2 linked regions of the Rattus norvegicus genome follow. The protein of the gene in region 1 purifies or fractionates together with the protein of each later gene. This does not show direct contact. Links are inferred from orthologs where the notes say so. Each region holds a gene or a part of one and is shown on either strand. Other genes may lie near its edges.

Region 1 (3,807 bases):
AAATACCCAAATGTGACGATTTCATATTCATATGAGCAGATACAGCAGTTTTCCAACACAGCTGGGAGGATCCACGAGGGCTTCCCGGAGCAATATTCTGAGTTTTTGGCTCGGGGAGGGCAGGGCACAGGGTGGTTCAGGAAGAGGGCTTAGTATAAACACAGAACAGGATGGCCATAGCCCTTCCGGTCTTAGATGTGAGGCAGGGGAGTGGCAGGTCTGCAGGCAAGTCAGCCCAGACCACTGCTTTTGTGGGGCAGAGGGTGTTATGCCACAAGCTGTAGTGAATAAAATTCTCAGGCAGCCCTGTGCATATAGAACCTTTCAGCTGAAGTTTCAGAAGGTCCATGAGGGGCGTGTCCTTCATGCTGGGGAGTAGAGCCCCTCCTTACTGTCAGTTCTGGAATAGCAGGTACCTTTTTAAACTCTGAATTTCATCCAGTGTAAAGTCGAATATGCTGGCCAGGTGGTGGTCCGTGCTCCAGGCTGAGGTGAAGTCACTCTGTGGACACAACAGAGACAGGGTCAGTCAACAGACGGACCAACAGACCTACCTCTCCCCAAGCAGCCTTTCTCCCATCTGAGGGGTGTATGGGCGCCTGCTGTTCAGCCAGGGCCATGAGGGCTTAGGGAAATCCTGCCACTTCCTCTGGACTCTGAACTGTGGACAGAGAGCTAAGTCACCATGGTGTCTAGTCCTGACTTCTTCTCCAAGCCGCCTGATTTCTCGTTTGCCTCTCTGGGTCTTAGCTGCCTCCATTTGCAAAATGGGAATGACTGAGAGCCTGCTTTACTGGGGGCCACAGGAAGAAGCTAGGACTCCATTGTGGCTGTGAAAGTGCGGAGTGCAGAGGCACCGTTAACACTACCATCCACAAGGAGGCTCTCAGTAAGGATAATCGAAGAAGGAAAATATGTTCTGAGACCTGGTTCTAGGCTGGGCTCAGTCAATGCCTTCAACATCCCATCTAGAAAGCGCTGCCCCCACACCCTAGCCCCGTTTGGCCCAGACTGGAACTGGGATATTATCTAACCCTGCCCTAACCCATGTTCTCAGGAGAACTTGTGGGTGATGAGACCCCAATAGCAGTCTTAGGGTGCCTGACAATCCTTGTTTTTCTGTAATTGGCAGTGGGATATTGGGGCACCCCTTTGGGTCGGGGCCAGTGCGTTATTTTCTGCATAGGGCCCCTAACATGTGCGGCCCTTGCATGTGAAACTGGAGAATAAGAAAACCAGGAACTAACACTGGGAATAGCATCTTCCAGCAAAAACTTTGATCTTTTTCTTCTATAAACTCGCCTTTTCTGCTGCTGGGATTCCTGAGGCAACAAACTGTGGAGACAGAAAAGGGAGAGGGCGGCCTGTCAGAGCCCCAGTCAGAGCTGAGGGCAGCGGCAGTATGGGATCAGGAGGGTTTGGGCAGGGTAGAGTGAGCCTGGGAGGAGGCCATCCTCCGGGAGCAGTGAATGTGGAGGGGCTTTAGAGAGTAGAAAAATGAGAGGTGCCTCCTTGCCCCAGTGCCCCTAGAGACGAGGCTCGCCCAGCCCTTGACACTTCCCTCATGCTCTGCTGCTGCCGCTGCCCAGTCCTAGTGCAGCAGGGCTGGGTCCCAGCATCAGTCTTCCTGGAGCTAGGAAGTGAGGGGCCTGTGGTGAGAGGGACCCCAGAGCTTCTCACTAGCACTCCCAGAGTGCCTATAGCTGGACCCTGCTGGGTCTAGGACTCCGGGTTTACAGGGATGCTGCCACACTGCCTGAGCCCACCACATAGCTTCTACCATCTGCGGGAGGTGGGAGCTTAGGCAGAGAACCCAAGCTCGCTGCAGCCACTGTCCCCCACCAGCACTGACCCAGGCTTGCTCTTTCCTCTCTTACGAAGCAGCTCAAAGGTCCCTTTGTCACTTGGCATCTGTGCCCTGTCCGGAAGCAGTTTTCCTGGAGGGGCGGGCGGGACACGGACGCGCAGTCGGAAGATGCATTTCTTCTTCTTAATCTCCTTGCCACACAGGAACCTGGGGTGACAGGAGAGAGGCTTGGGCTGTCAGCTGATCCTCCAGAGAGTGAAGCAGATTGCCACCAAGGCCGGGGGCCTCCCTGCCCTGAGAATGAATCCACAGTCTCCAGTTGGAGAATGTGACCAAGCACCTCCCTGTCCTTGCCTGCTGAACGTATTCTATCCTTGCTCTTCCTTGAGGCTTCTTAGCCTTGGCCAGCTGCAAGGCCACCAGGTACAGCATAGGACAGAACTCTCAGGACCCAGGTACTGGTGCCAGTTCTTCATGTTCTTTGGCCAGGAAGCACCTCCGGGCACATCTCCTATTTCAACACTGGCTGAATGAGGCCCTGGGGCTGTGGAGGGTGTTCAAGCCTTGGCCTGTTCTCAGGAAACTGAGCACTGGGAGGTCACAGGATCTCAAGCTCAAGGGGAGGTCTTGCTGCACCTCAAACCACAGGAAGGTATAAGCATGTTATCCTACAAGAGGCTTCAGGCAAGCTTCCACAGAAGCAGGGGCTGTATCTCATAGCTGAGAATCTCTCCATAGCGCAGAATCTACCTAGACTGGTCTGTTACAGAGCCTGTAACTAGACTTGCTGCCAAAAACTGAATGGAGGTGGGGAAAACAAGAGGCCGAGGGAAGGACAGTGCTCAGTACATGGGATGTGGTGGTGCATACTTGTTAACTCAGCATGGAAGAGGCTGAGGCAGGGGAATCAACAGTTTGAACCTGGGCCAGAGTGAAACCCTATCTCAAAAACCAACCACCCAGCCAGCCAACCAGCCAACCAGCCAACCAACCAGCCAGTCAGCCAGCCAACCAGCCCACCAGCCCACCAGCCCACCAGCCAACCAACCAACCAGCCAACCAGCCAACCAGCCAACCAGCCAACCAGCCAACCAGCCAACTAACCAACCAGCCAACCAGCCAACTAACCAACTAACCAACCAGCCAACCAGCCAACTAACCAACCAGCCAACCAGCCAACCAGCCAACCAGCCAACCAGTCAACCAACCAACCAGCCCACCAGCCAACCAGCCAACCAGCCCACCAGCCAACCAGCCAACCAACAAATGAATAGGAAGCCAAGGGCTGAGCTTGGCTGGCTGACACCCAGAATCTATAACAGTGTAAAATGAAGACAAGGAGGGTTGTGTCATAAAAGGTCTTGAACATGGCTGAGGGACAAGTGTGTGCTAAAACATGGGATGGGAAGGCACAGGCTAGGGAAGTAGCCCAGAGGTGGAAGCCCTGACTGATGGTTTTCCAGGTTCTCTATCTGGCTGGGCCATAGAATGGATGCTAACATACAACTGAGTCAAGGCCCTGGGTGCTTGGGAAGGCTCTGCAAAGGAAGGCCTCTAGATGTCTTTACTCCCTGGATGGTGGACAAGAAGGAAGGAAAGCCAGGCAGGGAGCACAACTTAAACACAGGACTTATGGTAGGAAGAGCCTTTAGATTGAAATCCCAGCAAGGACTCACAGCTCTTCCTCTTTTCTTGCACTCACCGGCTTTTGTAACTGTTGAGAGCGTTGAGGAGATGCGGCCCTCGCTCTGTCACAGGGGTGCTCGTGAGCTGCGGGGAGCAGGTGAGCAGGAGTTAGCTGTACAGGAGTATCTAAGACACTCCTGGCCTGATCCCGCCACCCCATCTCATGCTCCAGTGGCCTCCAGGGGAGAACCATTGACTTGCAACCTTTCACCTCTCTGAGATCAGTTTCCCCATCTGTGATCAAGAGGAATCTCCTGGTCTCAATGTTTCAGGAGCTTTACGGGACCAGGCTGTGGCCTAGTGGGAGACTGCTT
Region 2 (4,607 bases), on another chromosome or scaffold:
AACCTAGGTGTTAGGCATACAATCAAATCTGTCCCACAGCACTTATACAGTGTGACACATAAACAAGTGAACAATTTGATATATGCTATAATAAAAGCATGAACAAAACCCTGGGAGTGTCTGAGAATTCTGGAACAGCATCTCTAAAATAAAACACACAATCTGATGGACATTTCTCTGAATATAGTGCATTGTTCTTTCTACCCATGCTCCACCGTACGTGAAGATTTTACCAAACTATAACTACTATGGAATTTACAGAAAAAGTCACCATCTATACTGACATAAAGACTTCAAAGCTAATCTATAAACCATTTCTAATTAGCCCATAAATCATTGTATCAGCAGAGAATTTTTCCTTGTTTTTTTTTAAAGCAAATCAACTTTCTTCACTAGTATTTAAAGGCTAATGATGAAATAAATCTAAACTTCTTAAGCATATGACCTCAAAGAATAAAGGACACCGTAAAGCAAACGAATTTTGGTATGATTTGGGAAATCTGACTAAAACCTTTACATAGCCAACACAAAAATAATCACATGTATCCATGTAAGAGAAAACCAGTACCAAAAACTACACAACTATCTAACTACACAAGTCAACAAGTGGCTTTTTCTATCACTATTTAGACTGTCTAAATATACTCTCATTTCTATCAAAACATAACGCAGAATTTTCAACCAATTCCTCAATGAGATTTTAGGAAATATATGTGGCAAGTACAAAATAGCAAATATCAACTAGAGGACAAATCACATATTCTGGCAAAACTGGAATTTTTAAATTCTACACACCCAAGTTTCTACCCAAATTCTATACAACTAGCTCACCTCATAATGAATGAGATTATCAATAGGACTTTAATGTAAATATAAACCTTATGTTACAACCTCAACATTCAGAGCAACACCTAGAATGTCTGTTCCAAGATGCTCCTAAATCCTAAGCAACAGAAATTTGAACTGCATTTCTTTGTCTCCATTCATATGAAGCCGTAAATTAGCAGATTTACTTTAGGTCTTCATTAGATGAAACAGTGCAATTGAAGAGTCTGGTTTTTTTCTTTCATTCTTTTTTTTTTAAAGAAATATATTCAAGACCCATCAAAATAAAAATTTAGGATGCAATTTTTCTAAGTGTTTCTGGGACTTTAAGCATTTCATTCCCTAATACACCTCTCCAAAGAGAAAAAGCAGGATTCTTTTCGTTTAAGACCAGAATCCAACCCATTTCCAACTTAAAAGAACAAGAACAGGAAATTAAATATAACCTAAATATTTCCACATACTTGCAAGTAAAATTATGAGACTTTTATTTCTAAATATGAATTCACTGCTAATGTTCATTAGTGAAAATAGAAAATAAATTTTGAAATCGCCAAAAATATAAACTACATTCAACTGTGACAGCATTAGTATTTTTCAAATGTTTTATGTGCCATTAAAAACCCATAAAATTAAAATGATAACGACTTTCCTGAAATTGAAATGGTGTTGTATCATTGTTGTACGGTATTTGAAATATCAAAGACAAATTTTTACTTCAGATGAATTTGGATTCTACAAATCCTATGTTAATAAACAAAGGAAGTTTCTTTGAATTGTGACCAGAATACACTCGAATTTCTTAGGCAACAAACGTCTTTTCTGACTCACCAAAGCTTTTGTTCACTGGAAACATGACCCACTAAAAAGAAACTGTCAGTCCTTCAGCGTAAACCCACATTTCTCGTGGGTATTTTATTTCGATCATCTACTTCTATCATCTCTTCCACAACCAACCCCTAGAGATTTGGGGAATAATCACTGAATAAATGACAGTTGATTTCGTTAGCACCTGTCGCCGTTCTCAGAAGCTCATAAGTTGGCCAAAACAGTCCGTAATTTTTTTAAAATTTTGATCCTTTAAAACGTAGAACTCACAAGACGTTCACCAAGTTTTCCGAAAGCCCGTGCTTTCTCAGTTTCTCCCATTTTCAAAAAGTAGCCCTGCAGCATACATCTGGTGCGTGCGGGGGGAGGGGGAGGTTGTACAATGAAGTGAGAGAAGGGAGCACAGCTGGACTCTTCCATCGAACTTAGCACAAAGCCAGGCGAGGACATTGGCAGCCCGAAGCTGTGGGAGACTCCCGGCTCTCGGGGAAATGTCAGCCGCGGGGCTAAGGGAGTTCCCAACATCGTTCATGCAGTCCCGCAGCAGCAAGGCCAGGCGTTAGTCGGTCGCCCCCCAGCAGGGCCAGGCAAGGACGAGCCCTGCCCACTCGCGTTCGCGTCGCGCCTCCCCACGCCCCAACCCGCGCGGCGGGAGCCGAGTGTCGCCGTCTCCCCTCCCCTCCCGAGACACAGTCTGTCCTTTGTCTGAGTGCAGACTCTCGACTCGGTCCCACCAACTTGTGTGTACGTCCCGTCCTACCCGGGCGCTCCCAGCCACACAAAGGAGACTTGAGGCTTAGAGCTGCCGGCCCGGATCGGCCACAGGAACGCCCCCAGCCCCGGCCCGGCGGGAACAGGCTCCGGGACAGAAGCCCCCACCACCGGCCCCCGCTCTCCCACATCTGCCGGAATCCACAGTCCACTCCTGGGACCTCGTGGACCTGCCCGCACCTCATGACCCCTCGGAAAGCTGTCTCCTAGCCCTCCCTCCGCGCCTACAAAAGCAGCGCTCGAGTGAGACCCGCTGGGCGATGCCTGAGACTGGCCAGGCACTCGCGCGGAGGTCCCGCGGTCGCCGCCGCCGCCCCGGGGCGCGTTCCAGATCCCTGACTGCCGACCACCGGCGGCTGACGGCGTGCATTACCTTCGTCCCGCGCGCCAGCCCGCGCTTCTCCCGCGCGCCGCCCCAACGCGCCGCCGCCGCCGCCGCCGCCGGGACTCCACTGCCTTCGATGTCCCACTGGGTGTCGGACGCGACCGGACCGAGCGCCAAACGCAGCAGCCCAATCGTCATCGCTTTTATTTGGCCCCCCCAGCACTATCAAGCGCCGCCCCGATTGGAGGATGCGAGAGGGCGCCCGTCCAATCAGAGGGCCGGATGAGCTGTGAGCCTTCCAAGCGAGCCCCAGCCCAGGGACAGGGAGGCTCGCCGGCGCCAGCGCGTGCGCGAGTGTCAGGGCTCGTTCTGAGGAACGCGGCTAACCGGGTGGAAGCTCCACAGTCTCTGTCTTTGTTCTTTTGCCAACGTGCGGTACCCTCTCAGGAAAGCCATGGACAGGCAGGCGGAGATCGGGCACTTGGCGGGACCCGAAGCCCGTTATGGGCAGGAGGCGGGGAGGTCGGGATGGCGGGAACCGGCCGGGGGGCGGGCCAGCTCTTGGCGGGAATGGGCTCTTGAGTAGTTCTCGGGAGGGGGAGGGGAAGAGAAGGGCGGGCGCCAGAGCCAAGTTTGAAATAATTCAAAACTCGGGTTGGTAACGGTCTTAACCGCCCTCTTCCCCTGGCGTGCCATTCTGGGCCCGGAATCCAACACTCTTGTTGGCGACACGGACAGAAAGGCGCGTGGCGGGCCCCACGGGGGACTCAATGCGGGACGGGCCGCGCTCCACATGGAGAGGACCAGTAAGCAGAGAAAGTTAGTGCGGTTCCTTTTGGCACCTTGGAGGCTTTGGTTAGCAAAACTAGTGCCTAATGCCCTGACAGCATAGGAAAAAGCGACCAGATTTCTCTGAAAGGCCTTCCAATCTATGTTTATGGTTCTCAGCACTTATCAAGGTTTCAAGTTGTTTATTAGCAACTTTTGAGAGCAGATAGCTCAGTCCCTGTTGTCTCAGCAAAGTGTAAGGAAGTTTGCAACATTTTTCAATGGCTAGACTATCTTGAAAGTCAACCTTTCCCCTCCTCGAGGACTAGAAATGTGCTTCTTATACAATACACAGCACCCACACACACACCCTGGTTTCAGTTATCTGGCAATGAAGTGAATAATGATATTTCAAATTTACTTCTAATAAGATGCATCTGTATGGCAAACTAACAGACCTGCGAAAACAGGTTCAACAATGAAGAATTAACACTGAGAATTTGTAACACTCTAGAAGTTATGTATCTGTATTGGTCATGGTTCTCTAGAGGAACAGGCTGAATGAATGTATGAATGTATTCATTCCTTCACTGATTAAATGGATAGAGAACGGAGAATGAATATATATGTATATAGATATTCAGAATATATATAGAGAGAGGGAATATATACATATTCTTTCACTGGTATTCGAGCACATCCAGGCTTGTAGACTGAACAACTAGCAGATTCTTGGGTTTTCTGTTGGTAGACAGTCATTGCTTGACTAGTTGGACCACAACCTGTAAGCCACTCTAATATACTTGTGTGTGTGTGTGTGTGTGTGTGTGTGTGTGTGTGTGTGTGTAAATGGAAAAGTCAAAATCCACTAGTTCAGTCCATAAGCTGGGATGACTTCAGCTGAATTCATTATACACCTGAAATTCATTATACATTATACAATGGTTGTAATGCCAATGAACGAATGGGCTTGCCATCTAGAGTGAGGGCAAGCAGTTGCAGCTTCCCACCTAAAAAGATCTGAATTAAAAGTCAAATGATTTAATTAAGAAAAAAGCCATCACAGGTGTACCCTTAGTTTTTAGTTAAT

What was found.
Region 2: the proteins of Phf19 (region 1) and Ezh2 purify together in Homo sapiens (affinity purification with mass spectrometry; 10 studies listed by BioGRID and IntAct, counting the BioPlex papers as one, with this or other methods). This does not show direct contact. The link is inferred for Rattus norvegicus from reciprocal best matches to the Homo sapiens genes PHF19 and EZH2.

Annotation. Positions count from the first base shown.
Region 1 is NC_086021.1:38,576,784-38,580,590, forward strand, and holds part of Phf19 (PHD finger protein 19), read right to left. Parts: intron 3,578-3,807; coding exon 3,510-3,577; intron 2,015-3,509; coding exon 1,853-2,014; intron 1,336-1,852; coding exon 1,248-1,335; intron 503-1,247; coding exon 417-502; intron 1-416.
Region 2 is NC_086022.1:77,684,248-77,688,854, forward strand, and holds the start of Ezh2 (histone-lysine N-methyltransferase EZH2), read right to left. Parts: upstream 2,937-4,607; 5' UTR 2,798-2,936; intron 2,784-2,797; exon of another isoform or gene 2,605-2,783; intron 2,525-2,604; exon of another isoform or gene 1,657-2,524; intron 1-1,656. UniProt on the Homo sapiens protein: Polycomb group (PcG) protein. Catalytic subunit of the PRC2/EED-EZH2 complex, which methylates 'Lys-9' (H3K9me) and 'Lys-27' (H3K27me) of histone H3, leading to transcriptional repression of the affected target gene.